Saccharomyces cerevisiae S288C: one gene and its partners. Changing the gene in region 1 together with any one later gene gives a genetic interaction. Each region holds a gene or a part of one and is shown on either strand. Other genes may lie near its edges.

Region 1 (4,523 bases):
TTATTCTAATCAACGTAGTAATCAAAATGTTGCAACCTTATCGAAAGAGCCATTTCTTGTTTTCAGCTTTTAATCCAGTGTGAGACCCCTTTGAGCGGCCGTGGAAAAAGATGTGAAAAAAAAAAAAAAAAAAAAAAAAAAAAGAAAAAGGAAAAAGAAAAAGAACAATACAATAAGGTTATGCTAGGAATAAAAAGAACAATAGATAGGACTATAGAAGCAAAGTGGAGTCTAATCGTGGTGGCAAAAAAATATTCTCGCCCAATTGGAGTCTGTACAGCATTGAAATGCCGATGAAGAGTCTACATACTGCTGCTGTTGCCGCTGTTGTTGTTGCTGTTGTGTTTGCCGTACAGACATGGAGTGGTTCAAGTTTAAGGTATCTAGGTAGCTGACAGGAATAGGATTGGAATAAACATCTCGATAGATAGAGAGTTCTTCGCCGTCCCCAATTTCAATGACTTTTCTTTCTGCTGGGTTTTGTTTTGTTCGAGTAGGAGCTTCGTACGGGAAAAGCACCGGTGTTTGCACTTGATGTTCGCTGTTCCTGGTTGACATATCATTTGGGCTTAGGTGAAATGAGAAGAGATCTTCTTCGAAAAGCTGCAACTCTTGGTCATCTTGACTCGCACTGTGTTCGGTTCGTACACCTTCTTCCTCGTCACGAAAAAACATTTTGGAATTGCGTTTCCACCAATCGGTAAACGATTCTACAATGGAACGCACGGATTCATCTCTCTTTGTTGAACCAAATGGATCCGATCTTCTCGAGTTGAATTGTGCTGTGCTAAGCTGATATGGATGCGTGCCATTAATAGCTTCAATTGCGCCACGATGTGAAGATGCAGGTGGCCTCCATTTTACAAGTACGTCCTCCATTTTTCCCACAAATACATTTTCTTCTCTTCTTCTTCTGCTTTTTTGTTTCGAAATCACGAGTTGCCTCACAGAGGGGAACTCACTTCTTGGTAAGAATCTGTTTTGAGCCTCCGCTTCAGGGCTGTAGGATGGGAAAGTTATGTCGCCCCCATCTAAACCATCTTCTATACTTGTGTTACACTGCATATTTTTCTAATATTTCTTGGCTATCTGTAAGCAAATCTACATCCAGGAATAGAGTCCACAAGTATATTCCATATAAAAGCACAGAACTACGAAGTGTCGCAAATTAGTTGTTTTTTTGGGAACTTGAACCCATACACCGCACCAAATTATTACAATATTTTGTGACACAGGACAGAATATTAATAAAAGAAGCGAAACTCTATTCTCCTAAAACTTCTTCTTGCGGAATTATGTATCAATTAATGCTAAGATTAATCCAAAAGCTTATACGACAACAATAGTCGTTGTGCACTTTGAAATACAATCGTGTATTACCCTGACATGACCGGGTAATCTAGAAGAGGTTATTATTTTCTTTTCCGCTGAATTGTGGAAAAGAGTCGTGGAAAGTTTCAAAGGGACATCCCCATTTTATAAAACCAATTGAAGGGCTGTAACTAGAGCAAACTTCTTAAGGTACCAGCCCGCTGCAAAACAGTGTTCGAACAAGAACACGCAAACCCGTTTACTTCTTGTCCTACCTGCTCTCTTTCCTTTCCGGTTATTGTTCCTGTTACGTCTTTTTTTGAATTTTATATTATTGGCACTTCTGTATAACTGGCTTTCATTCGAAAAAAATGGATATGGAAATTGATGACCCTATGCATGGTTCAGATGAAGATCAATTATCACCGACTCTCGACGAAGACATGAATAGTGATGACGGCAAAAATAATACGAAGGCGCGTTCTAATGACGAAGACACAGATGAAGAGTTGGAAGATTTTAATTTTAAACCGGGGTCCTCGGGTATAGCAGATCATAAATCCTCCAAACCACTAAAACTGACCAATACAAATATAAATCAGCTTGACCAATGGATTGAGCATTTGAGTAAATGCGAGCCACTATCAGAAGACGATGTAGCACGACTATGTAAAATGGCGGTGGACGTGTTGCAGTTCGAGGAGAATGTTAAACCAATTAACGTGCCTGTTACCATTTGTGGTGACGTACACGGTCAATTCCATGACTTGTTAGAACTTTTCAAGATTGGTGGTCCTTGTCCTGACACCAATTACCTTTTCATGGGTGATTACGTGGATAGAGGATATTATTCTGTTGAGACCGTATCTTACCTAGTTGCCATGAAAGTCAGATATCCACATAGAATTACTATACTTAGGGGCAATCACGAGTCTAGGCAGATTACCCAAGTATATGGGTTTTATGACGAATGTTTGAGAAAGTACGGCAGTGCGAACGTGTGGAAAATGTTTACCGATCTATTCGATTATTTCCCCGTTACTGCCTTGGTGGATAATAAAATCTTCTGTTTGCATGGAGGTCTCTCACCCATGATAGAGACAATAGATCAAGTTAGAGATTTAAATAGAATACAGGAAGTGCCTCACGAAGGTCCAATGTGTGACCTTCTATGGTCCGATCCTGATGATAGAGGCGGATGGGGAATCAGTCCGAGAGGTGCAGGCTTCACTTTTGGTCAAGACATCAGTGAGCAATTCAATCACACTAATGACCTATCACTAATAGCAAGAGCTCACCAATTGGTAATGGAAGGATATTCTTGGTCTCACCAGCAAAATGTTGTCACCATTTTCAGTGCTCCAAATTATTGTTATAGATGTGGTAACCAGGCCGCTATTATGGAGGTGGATGAAAACCATAATAGGCAATTCTTACAATACGATCCATCTGTGAGACCCGGTGAACCAACCGTCACCAGGAAGACACCGGATTATTTCTTATAATATATATCTATTACACCTTTATCCTTACTACGCTATTTCATTCCAACATACATTTATTTTTTTTTTTTTTTTAATATATATTTAGTTACTTTTTCCCTCTAATTTTTGATAATAACAACTTATATACAAACATACAAACTATTTTTTCGTTTTCAAATACTTATTTTTTCGAACACAAAGTGAAAACAACTTTTTCTCATATATTACTGTTCTCATACTAGAATTTCTATAAACCGTTACGTAATTTTTTCGCTATGTATAGTTCACTCCTCACGCTAAATGTTTAATTTATCAAATTTCATCTCTACCGAATCAGTATCCCTAGATGACGGCGAACCCTCAACACTAGCCCTACGAATTCCCTCATTCTTATTACTGTTACTGTCATCACTACGTTTCGGAATCGCACCAGAATATGAATTTTTTCCTTGAAAATGGTGGTACTTATTTGCTGAGGATCTTGTGTAATTGTTAGAATTATAGCTTGGTGTATTGCTATATGGCCCGCTGTGATACTGAGTGTTATATTGGTATTGATATTGATATTGGTATGGGGGATACATAGGGATTGGGGTGCCAAACGAACAGGACCCTTGGGGATTCATATTGTACATGTAAGGGTTCATGAAGACTGTGTTATTGCCCATTACCATGGGTGAAGGTGCAGGACCGGGGGCAGGACCAGCGGGGTTATACATTAGAGGGTAGGTTGGCAGACTATTGCCACCCATTTGGGGAGGAGGATACACAAGATATGGCGAAGAATATCCCGATTGGTAACCGCCGTTTTCTTTATTCCGACGACTTTGGCCTCTATAGGCATCTTTGTAATTGTTTGTTCCTCTTCTTCTTCCTCCTCTTCCTCTTCGACTATCATAAAATTGTTGTTGAGGTTTGTTTACTTGTATCGTCGTCACAGATGAATTGAATGGTGATGAAGAGCTAACTGAACCGTTACTAGTTTGTGTGTTAGAGTCATCTCCGTTCAACCAATCACTCCATTCATTGTCACTATCACTACTACCGCTACTGTTGGTTGACTTTACATCGTCTTCACTCTTGTTGAGCTTATCAAAAATTTCTTGTTTACGTTGTTCATAAAGTCTTTCCTTCTCAATTCTTTCTTGTTCCAAATCAGTACTAGATTTATCATCGATTTCGATTTTTTGGTCCTTATTTGAATTGGCTGTCAAATTGCTATTTGGTGTACGTGTATTGCCATCGATTTTATAATCGCACTCGTTACCTACCTCTTTCCGCTTTAAGATTCGAAATATTCTGTTATTGTTCGATTTTTCAATACTCTCACTTGAGGAAGCACACTCTTCCGGTTTTTTGTTCAGCTGCAACTCTTGTAAGAGTGGCTTTCCTTCAATCTTTTGGAAATTCTCACCTTTGAAAAGAATCACACAACTATCTTGAGTTCTTGCCAAAACATGGTTCAAGTTGTGGTACTCAGCTATTTGGTGCGATAGAAGCCTATAATATGAATTCATCGGTCTTAGCTGAAATGATTCTGTGTTTGAGTTTATGAATGACACTATGGAATTTTCCAGCTCTATTATAAAGATACGGTCCTGTGGTTTCTGGAACAAGCCCGTTTCCATAGCGGGTGTCAATCCCCAGTTTCGAGAATCTAGTGCTGTCATCACCTACTTCTGCCCTAACTCCTTATATACTTGAAGAGACTTGAATATCTTAGTTGTT
Region 2 (6,082 bases), on another chromosome or scaffold:
TGAACTAACAGATATAATCAGCATCATGTTTTTTAAGCGAGAATACAGAAATATTCAAATTAAGATAGGCAACAAGGATTAGTTTAAATCTGAAAATCTTTTAAGATTAGGTACCTAATTTAGCTATATTGCTTTATGATTAGTTATAACGTCATTGGAGGAACAAACTATTGGAATAAGAATCGACTATAATCTACCGGCGAGTATTCATAAGCTATTATATTGTGGTAGACGGAGTAGAAAGATAAAAAAGGATTGAAAACAGTCATCTGATTTAATGGAAGCTGAAATGCAAGATTTAATAATGTAATAGGATAATGAATGACAACATAAAAAATAGAAGAAATAATAATAGTAACATTATGTGGAAATATGGGTTTCCTTGGCAGGTTCCTATATCCTTGAGAAAGAGCTTCTAATATATTTTGTATATTTAGTATTATAACTAAGCTGTTAGAAAATAAAATACCGCTAAATCAATTGAGGCGGTATTAAATACCTGTACATTTGAATATTTGGAATGAGAAAGAAATATAGTTACATAATGTACAAAAAAGAAGCAAGAAAGGAATATATATATATATATATATATATATATATATGTATATTGTTATTTAGAATATCTCTCTCTCTTCGAGAATCTCTATATCCTCGAAAAGAACTTTTAGCATATTCACGATAGGTCGTATTATCAATTAAATCAATTACGAAGTTCGGAAGTTATTGCCTACATAATATGATGTCCTGTTCATAAAAATAGAGCCCTAAGAAGTGTTATTAAATTTAACCAGCCTACAAATTAAATATAAAATGAGTGTTATTGTTCCACCGACTTGAATAATTGTACAACTTTAGCTAACATTTTAACTAATATTTTAACGCATCTTATTATCAAGTATTGTAACAATACGTATCATCTTACTATCTCAATGGAAGCATTCTCTTATACATACTGAGTCAAATATCTTGAAGACTCATTATAATGTGTAATAAAAGGACAAAGCAGCGTAGAAGCCTTAAATAACTATGCACTTGGACACATGTCTTCTCACGACGTGTTCAAATATAATGATTTTTCAATCAGCTTTGAAGTTCAATACAAACTTCTTCACTAAAGGATAATAAGCAATCATTATTAATGGCAAAATCGGTTTTCAATTTCTTTCATTTTGAAATATTGGAGTATTTAAACCGTTTTGTGTATCATTCACAATACTTTCTTCCATACTACTGCTCTCTTGAAGTTCTTGGGAAGAGCCGAAAAAATTGGACATTTCAATATTGGTGCTTATACATTACTACTGACAAGAAGATAATAAAAAAGAAAGATTTCTATCACCGATAGTGAGCTCTTTAGAAAACTGAACGCAATAAATTTTATGCCTCATAACGTCTTGGGGCGCGAGAATTTACTGACGTAAACAGATCCGGCTCAAAAAGTCGTCTTTACCTTTCTATCATCTCGTCGCATAATTATTAAATTAACTCACAATTTCTCACAATTTATATCATGCCTTTTTTGTCAGTTCGTGGCCTTGCCAGTGGAGATATAACAACTACTTCGTAAAGGGTCCCGAAAGAAATGAAAGAATTACTCATTTGATATAAAAATTTGCATGGTATAACAGAAGTGAAACGCGGGGACAACCATGATCTTTTTTGAGTAGGATAATTTTTTATGTCGGTTTGATATATTATAAAGCAAGTCATATATAATATCATACTGATTTTAACCAAACGATAATCAATCAGAAAAAGAAAATAAATAAAAAATCTAGCACATAGTATTTCAGTACCCTTATGGTTCTGACCTCAGAAATTATTCAGCCGCTTGTTATCTTATAGTACGTTTTATATCGTAATTTTCCTGACATTTTGGGCAGAAATCCTTTACTCCTGATATAATAAACGACGTTTTTTTTCCTGTGTTTTTTATGTTACTATAAGAAATGCAAAAAAAGAAACAATAGAAAAAGGCAGTGACAAAAATACTAATCAGAACGTTGAAAACAAATCAATAGTTTTGATAATGGTAGCATCATCGATCAATGAAGAATCCTCTTTGGCGGTAAACTTGACAAGCGATGTAGAGAAGGCTTCGAAAACTTTGTTTAAGGCATTCGAAAAGTCATACGCAAATGACTACTTGATGAAAAAGTTCTTCCATATCCCAATCACTGAAAAAGTTTCAAGGGCAAGAATAAATGCAATGATACATTACTACACGACGTGCTACCATGACTTGGATGGTGAAATTGCTGAGGCAAATGATTTCGATGCAGTCGCAATATGGAGCCGCCCTGGGTGCCACTTGCCTGCTACACTATCTGACGACGAGTCTTTCAATAAGATTTTTTTTTCACGACTTGACTGTGAGGAAGCACGAAGTCATGCCTCTGGGAATGGACTATTACTACCTTTATGCCATCGGAAAAGATCCTAGCCATCCCGAAATTAGAGGTTCAGTCAGAAAAATACTCGAAAAATATAAAACCAAAGCAGACAAGGCCAATTGCGCCCTTGCTCTCGAGGCTATTTCGGAGCACGCAAGATCTGTGTACGAATATTTCGGTTTCAAAACCTATTTGGTGTTTCAGTTCGGGGTTGGAGAAGTGAACTCCAAAGGAGAACCCGATCCGCAGGGGAAGGGATTCACGGCCTACTTGATGCTCTACCACAAAGATGCAGACACCATCTTTCACGCCTGATTTTCTTCTAAAAATTTTATAGACATTTATTGTATGTATGGAGCATATAGCAACAATAAAACTTAGACCAACATTTTTTGCCGGGTCACAACCCCCTATCCCGGCTGCGAGAAAGGAAAAAAAAAAGTATCAGACAATTGATTATCAAAGAGTATGTGAAACTACGCTTTGTTTTCCACTTCAATTGGTAGGCATGTCAATACGTCTCGTTTCTTCATTGGAAAACTCTTCATTTCAAGGATAAACCATCGTCGCCGTAAGTATTTTGGGTTTCATTTCCTTCCCCCCTCGATTTTGCTTTTTTTTCCTTTTTTTGTTAGATAAAAATATAAACCCTTCTCCATATACCTGTTCACCTCAATACCGTCTTTAACTGGCTTTTTTATTTTGTATAAAAGTTCTACTTATTAAGATCAATAGGCACGTGCTATTTTCGAACATCCACTTTCAATATGATGCGTGGTTTCAAGCAAAGATTAATAAAGAAGACCACCGGGTCTTCTTCTTCTTCAAGCAGTAAAAAGAAGGACAAAGAGAAGGAAAAAGAAAAAAGTTCCACTACCTCATCCACATCAAAGAAGCCCGCTTCGGCTAGTAGCTCTTCCCACGGGACTACTCACAGTTCTGCCAGCAGTACCGGATCAAAGTCTACAACTGAGAAGGGCAAGCAATCTGGTAGTGTTCCCTCGCAAGGGAAGCATCATAGTAGCTCTACATCAAAAACAAAAACAGCGACGACCCCTTCTTCCAGCAGCAGTAGCAGTAGAAGTTCAAGTGTCAGTCGCTCCGGTTCAAGCTCCACAAAGAAAACAAGTTCAAGAAAAGGACAAGAACAGTCCAAACAATCGCAACAGCCATCACAATCTCAAAAGCAAGGATCTTCTTCATCATCTGCCGCTATAATGAACCCCACTCCAGTACTCACTGTTACTAAGGACGACAAAAGCACTTCTGGTGAAGATCATGCACATCCTACTTTGCTGGGGGCAGTATCCGCTGTTCCATCATCTCCCATTTCAAATGCTTCAGGTACAGCAGTTTCTTCTGATGTAGAAAATGGTAATAGTAATAATAACAATATGAATATTAATACTAGTAATACTCAGGATGCAAACCACGCCTCCTCACAAAGTATCGACATTCCGAGATCATCACACTCATTTGAGAGACTACCAACACCCACAAAACTTAACCCTGACACAGATTTAGAGTTAATTAAGACTCCCCAACGTCATTCTTCATCTAGATTCGAGCCATCTAGATATACGCCATTAACGAAATTGCCAAATTTTAATGAAGTTTCTCCTGAAGAAAGAATCCCTTTGTTCATTGCCAAAGTTGACCAGTGTAACACTATGTTTGACTTTAATGATCCAAGTTTTGACATTCAAGGTAAAGAGATTAAAAGAAGCACCTTAGATGAGCTAATAGAATTCCTTGTAACAAATAGGTTCACTTACACGAATGAGATGTACGCTCATGTGGTGAACATGTTCAAAATCAATCTGTTTAGACCTATTCCACCACCAGTAAATCCAGTTGGTGACATTTATGACCCAGATGAAGATGAACCTGTTAACGAACTAGCCTGGCCTCATATGCAAGCTGTTTACGAATTCTTTTTAAGGTTTGTGGAAAGTCCTGATTTCAATCATCAGATTGCTAAACAATATATTGATCAGGACTTTATTTTAAAGTTACTGGAATTATTTGATAGCGAAGATATCAGAGAAAGAGACTGTTTGAAAACGACACTGCATAGAATATATGGGAAGTTCTTATCATTAAGAAGCTTTATTCGTCGGTCGATGAATAATATTTTTTTGCAATTTATTTATGAGACTGAGAAGTTTAACGGTGTGGCAGAATTGTTAGAAATTTTGGGTTCCATAATTAATGGATTTGCACTTCCATTAAAGGAAGAGCACAAGGTTTTCTTGGTGAGGATATTGATACCATTACACAAGGTCCGTTGTTTATCATTATACCACCCTCAGTTGGCTTACTGTATCGTTCAATTTCTCGAAAAAGATCCTTTATTAACCGAAGAGGTAGTTATGGGCTTACTGCGTTATTGGCCAAAAATAAATTCCACAAAAGAGATAATGTTTCTAAATGAAATCGAGGATATTTTTGAAGTGATCGAACCGCTGGAATTTATTAAAGTAGAAGTTCCGTTATTTGTTCAATTAGCTAAGTGTATTTCTTCTCCACATTTCCAAGTGGCGGAAAAGGTTTTAAGTTATTGGAATAATGAATATTTCTTAAACTTATGTATCGAAAATGCCGAAGTCATCCTACCCATTATATTTCCTGCATTATATGAATTAACTTCTCAGTTAGAGCTAGATACAGCAAATGGCGAAGATAGCATTTCAGACCCTTACATGCTTGTTGAGCAAGCAATCAATTCTGGTTCGTGGAATAGGGCAATTCATGCTATGGCATTCAAGGCATTGAAAATTTTTCTGGAAACAAACCCAGTATTGTACGAAAACTGTAATGCATTGTACTTATCAAGTGTAAAAGAAACTCAACAGCGTAAGGTGCAACGTGAAGAAAATTGGAGCAAACTTGAAGAATATGTAAAAAATCTAAGGATTAACAATGATAAGGACCAATACACAATCAAAAACCCAGAATTAAGAAACAGTTTCAACACAGCAAGTGAGAATAACACATTAAATGAAGAGAACGAAAATGATTGTGACAGCGAGATACAGTGAAACAGCAATTCATTACAAGCTCGAAGAAGTGAGGAAGTTTAGGGCATGCCACATTTCAAAAGAGCAGCAGTATATGAAGAGCAAAAAAGAACTGGTAAATGGGGTCAACTTGTTGAAGAAACCAAAGATAGAATCCCCGAATATTCGAACAAAACTATAGCAAAGATAAGCCACTTGGACAATGGTTGTTTGTGGCCTGAGATAAAGGTCTCTTTTTCTCATCATTTGAGCATACTTCAATCGATGTGTCTTCATTTTATTATTTCTATACTTTTCTCCAAATATATCTTCGTTTTTCTTTTCGCTTTCCTTCTTCCTTCTGCCTTTCCTCTATTTATTTTGCACTCCACTCTTTTCCGTAAACCTTGCCTATCTATTATTGGATTTTTGAAAACTAAAGTATAAAGGTATGTCATAAATAATTAAATAACAAAAAAAATAGGATCATGATACAAAAAAGTGCCTTCCCCTTAGCACAGCTGATCCAACAATTTTAAGAGCTTGAAAAGCAACCTATACGTAGTTTTTTTGGCGACTGGTAAAAAAGAACTGAATAATTAATGCCTGCACTATACTGATACCAACCATTACCCCCATAATTAGTAATGAGAGCCATGTTAATCTTGACTCAGTAGAACTCACAGTATA
Region 3 (4,588 bases), on another chromosome or scaffold:
TATTTGAACAACCGCGCTTGCTGAATAATTTGACTGCACCAAACGTCCTGATTTGGTCCGCCGTATGTGCATCATGTTCACTACCGGGAATTTTCCCCTCGAGCCCACTTTACGAAAAAGATCCAAAAACGGGAGAAAGGAAACCATGGACTGGTAGTAGTTCGGTCAAATTTGTCGATGGTTCTGTGGACAATGACTTGCCCATTTCTCGTCTTTCTGAAATGTTTAATGTAGACCATATTATCGCATGCCAGGTGAATATTCACGTATTTCCCTTTTTGAAACTATCACTATCCTGTGTTGGCGGGGAAATTGAGGACGAATTTAGTGCAAGATTAAAGCAAAACTTATCAAGTATATACAATTTTATGGCCAATGAAGCTATTCATATTCTAGAAATTGGAAGTGAGATGGGAATTGCCAAAAACGCGCTTACAAAACTGAGATCGGTATTATCTCAACAATATTCTGGTGACATCACTATTTTGCCCGACATGTGTATGCTTTTTAGAATAAAGGAGCTGTTGTCAAACCCAACAAAAGAATTTTTATTAAGGGAAATCACCAATGGTGCAAAAGCTACGTGGCCCAAGGTTTCCATTATTCAAAATCACTGTGGCCAGGAATTTGCTCTGGATAAGGCGATTTCTTATATCAAAGGTAGGATGATTGTCACCTCCTCTTTAAAAACCCCCTTCCAATTTGCTGATTCAGTCATTGGATTAATTAAAGCTCCAGAGCAAACGTCAGATGAGTCCAAAAACCCAGAAAATTCAACATTGCTAACTAGGACTCCAACCAAGGGTGACAATCATATTTCCAATGTTTTAGATGACAACTTATTAGAATCAGAATCGACAAACTCTTTGCTATTGTTACGTGAGAATGCAAGCACATATGGGCGGTCACCTTCCGGGTTTAGACCGCGGTATTCCATTACGTCCGCTTCTCTCAATCCGCGTCACCAAAGAAGGAAATCAGATACTATTTCAACTTCAAGGCGACCAGCCAAATCCTTTTCATTTTCAGTTGCTTCTCCCACATCAAGGATGTTGAGGCAATCCAGCAAAATCAATGGACACCCACCGCCAATTCTGCAGAAAAAAACAAGTATGGGCCGGCTAATGTTTCCTATGGATGCCAAGACCTATGACCCGGAAAGCCATGAACTTATCCCACATTCTGCCAGCATTGAAACACCTGCCATGGTAGACAAGAAATTGCATTTTGGCCGAAAGAGTAGATACTTGAGGCATATGAACAAAAAATGGGTCAGCAGTAGCAACATATTATACACAGATTCGGATAAAGAAGACCATCCTACATTGAGACTGATAAGTAACTTCGATTCAGACGCAATGATTCATAGTGATTTAGCGGGCAATTTCAGGCGTCATAGCATTGATGGAAGACCCCCTTCTCAAGCTACAAAGAGCTCACCGTTTCGATCGAGGCCTTCTTCTTCAACGCAGCACAAAAGCACCACCAGTTTTACTCAATAAGAAAACACGGGCTTGCTTATATATCCTCTAGATATTCTTTTTCATCTATGTATTTATTCGAATGGCCTTTCTCATTCATATCATTTTCAAAGCGGAAATCGAAATCATTGTTTTCTCTCGAGCTGCACTAAGAAAAAAAGCCACTTTACTAAAACAATACCTTCAACATATTTGAAAATATTATTATGGTGGAAGAAAGATATTGGTTACACAAATGAGTCAGTCTTACGAAGCAGGAAATGCCAATATGGGCCAAGGGGAGGATGATGAATTTGATGGCTATTTCGAAGACTTTGACAACGATATCATGCCAAATAGTAATAATGGACAAAGGGTTGGTACTAATGCTGGATTGTCATTCAATGACGAAGTAAATGTTAATGATGATGATTTTTTAGACATTTATAATATGTCCCCTAGAGAGAGATTGATGCATAATATCAGGAAGAATGTTCAAAAATTACAGTTTTATTTTTATTCACTACGCTTATGGCAACAGATTATCATTGTCCTCCTCGGCATAATGCTAATGATAATGGGTATATTGTTGCTCGTCTTCCATAATGCGATTTTACATAAAGTTGTTGTTACTTCGAACGATTTGAGAGAAAAGATGTCAACACATTTTATATTAATGGTTCTGATATTCTTTGTCGCATTTCCTCCTATGATTGGCTACTCCTTATTATCCACCACTACTGGGTTGATCTATGGTGTCAGTTTTGAGGGATGGGTTACGCTAGCTTTGGGATCTGTAACAGGTTCCATTGCCTCTTTCGTTGTGTTCAAGACGATCTTGCATTCAAGAGCAGAAAAGCTTGTGCATTTGAATAGAAGATTTGAAGCATTGGCTTCAATTTTACAAGAAAACAATAGCTATTGGATTCTAGCTCTACTGAGATTATGTCCCTTCCCATATTCTTTGACTAATGGTGCCATAGCTGGTGTTTACGGTATCTCGGTACGCAACTTTTCCATTGCCAACATAATAACCACACCAAAGCTGTTCATCTATCTATTTATAGGTTCTCGTGTAAAGAGTCTCGCAGAATCTGAATCTACAGGATCTAGGGTATTTGACTTGGTAAGCATTATTATCACATTATTAATCCTAAGTCTTACAGCATGGCTCTTATACTTCAAGACTAAGAAGAGATATTTAGAACTACAAAACCGCGACCGTCAAGTGTCCACTGATCAACTACCTGAATTGTCTTTTGAGGTCTAATCCTCCGTATACGTTTATATATGTTTAGATAAGTTGGTTTTATATGGGTAACCCAAATTACTATTTCTACTTCTTTCTACGTCCGATATAAAGAACTTAAAAGACAAAAAGCAGTTTTTCGAAGCGACATCAACCAATCTAAGTTAAGGTATGGAAAGATAAAATACAAGAAATGTTACGCAACATCATCAGGTTCAAAGGATTTGGAAAAGGGACCAGTGGAGGATTTTTAAAACCTGTATCATTTCGTGTTCAGTTAACGCGATGTTACCGCTATGACAATGGTCCTTCATATCGTCGATTTAATAATGGAGAGTATTCCCAAAAATCATCGTTTAAAAGCATTCTTCTCGATAAGTCATCAAGAAAATACTTAGCTTTATTATTTGGTGGATGCTCTCTCTTTTATTATACACATTTGGATAAAGCACCGGTAAGCGATAGGTCCAGGTTCATCTGGGTATCGCGTCCATTAGAGTTAACTATCGGAAATTACACATACAAATCAATTTGGAGACAAACGCAGCAGGAAATATTACCTCCACAGCATCCGCTGTCCATCAAAATTGAGAATATTTTCATGAAAATTGTCGAAGCTGCTTATAAGGACCCTAGTGTAGACAACTCACTACTGGACGGAATCAAGTGGGAAATTCATGTGGTCAATGATCCAACTGCTTCACCAAATGCATTCGTTTTACCAGGGGGTAAGGTCTTTATATTCAGCTCTATTTTACCTATTTGTGCTAATGATGATGGGATTGCCACTGTTTTAGCACACGAATTTGCTCATCAGCTAGCAAGACACACAGCCGAAAATTTGTCGAAGGCTCCTATATATTCTCTTTTGGGTTTGGTGTTATATACTGTTACTGGAGCTCATGCTATCAACAATATACTATTGGATGGGTTTTTGCGAATGCCAGCATCAAGACAGATGGAAACCGAAGCTGATTACATTGGCCTGATGATAATGTCAAGGGCATGTTTTCAACCACAGGAGTCAATAAAAGTGTGGGAAAGAATGGCAAATTTTGAAAAGCAAATGAATAGAGGGGGTGTTGTGAATATGGAGTTTCTAAGTACACATCCAGCAAGCACTCGTAGAATAGAGAATATGTCGAAATGGTTGCCAAAAGCTAATGAAATTTATGAACAATCTGATTGTAGCAGTATGGGTAACTATTATAAAAGTTTTTTCTCAATGTAAGCACTCCACGAGTTATGCTCTTTTCTTTTGTACCCAATAAATAACCCTTTGTTTTATGCATGCATATAACTATATAATAACATATATGAATATTTTGCCTATTAGCACGCTCTTCCCATAAACTAAAAAAAAGGCTTCCTTCTTTTGAAAGGTTTCATTGAATTTTCTTTGCCGTTCAGTATATTTTGCTTTTTCGTTTTTTGCTTTTTGTCTTCTTTGTTTGAATTGTCGGTCATTTTGAGCTCCTGTATCACACTGTCTCTCATATCCTTACATCTCCTAATATTGATATCAATATCATCTTCAACCTTGTCCAGAGTATGTTCATAGTGTTCACCAAAGAGGCCTGTAGTTGTGGCCTCCTGATCATTTTTAATACGCTTGATGTCGTAGAGTAACCCACCATATTCCATTAACCAGAATGGATCTACAGAAGTAACACAACAAATGTATTCTTTGCTAGTCATTAATAATTCATGATATACCACGTAAGGGGGTAAATCCCCCAATCCGTGTAATGCACTTGTAGGGTGTAGTTGAACACTTACGCCAGTTTTTAAATGAACGTAATTTCGTAGTCCTGTTATTTTGGCTGCTTGATGAGCAAATCCTGAACAAATACATTTTTTAATAATATCCCAGTCCTTA

The links. Genes that interact genetically often act in the same process or in processes that back each other up.
Region 2: mutations in PPH22 (region 1) and RTS1 together harm fitness more than expected from each alone (negative genetic interaction), as found in Saccharomyces cerevisiae (3 studies listed by BioGRID, with this or other methods).
Region 3: of PPH22 (region 1) and OMA1, a mutation in one rescues a mutant of the other (synthetic rescue), as found in Saccharomyces cerevisiae (one study listed by BioGRID).

The regions. Positions count from the first base shown.
Region 1 is NC_001136.10:122,158-126,680, reverse strand, and holds PPH22 (phosphoprotein phosphatase 2A catalytic subunit PPH22), read left to right. Parts: upstream 1-1,682; coding exon 1,683-2,816; downstream 2,817-4,523. Other genes in the region: YDL186W (uncharacterized protein), read right to left, coding at 232-1,065; RBS1 (Rbs1p), read right to left, coding at 3,092-4,465. UniProt on the Saccharomyces cerevisiae protein: Exact function not known, phosphatase 2A performs an essential cellular function.
Region 2 is NC_001147.6:354,514-360,595, forward strand, and holds RTS1 (protein phosphatase 2A regulatory subunit RTS1), read left to right. Parts: upstream 1-3,160; coding exon 3,161-5,434; downstream 5,435-6,082. Other genes in the region: YOR011W-A (uncharacterized protein), read left to right, coding at 1,139-1,345; YOR012W (uncharacterized protein), read left to right, coding at 2,030-2,443; YOR015W (uncharacterized protein), read left to right, coding at 5,480-5,839; ERP4 (Erp4p), read right to left, coding at 5,948-6,082. UniProt on the Saccharomyces cerevisiae protein: The B regulatory subunit might modulate substrate selectivity and catalytic activity, and might also direct the localization of the catalytic enzyme to a particular subcellular compartment. Multicopy suppressor of ROX3 and HSP60.
Region 3 is NC_001143.9:602,547-607,134, reverse strand, and holds OMA1 (metalloendopeptidase), read left to right. Parts: upstream 1-2,902; coding exon 2,903-3,940; downstream 3,941-4,588. Other genes in the region: TGL4 (triacylglycerol lipase), read left to right, coding at 1-1,502; TVP38 (Tvp38p), read left to right, coding at 1,717-2,730; DEAH-box RNA helicase PRP16, read right to left, coding at 4,063-4,588. UniProt on the Saccharomyces cerevisiae protein: Protease that is part of the quality control system in the inner membrane of mitochondria. Activated in response to various mitochondrial stress, leading to the proteolytic cleavage of target proteins, such as OXA1 and COX1.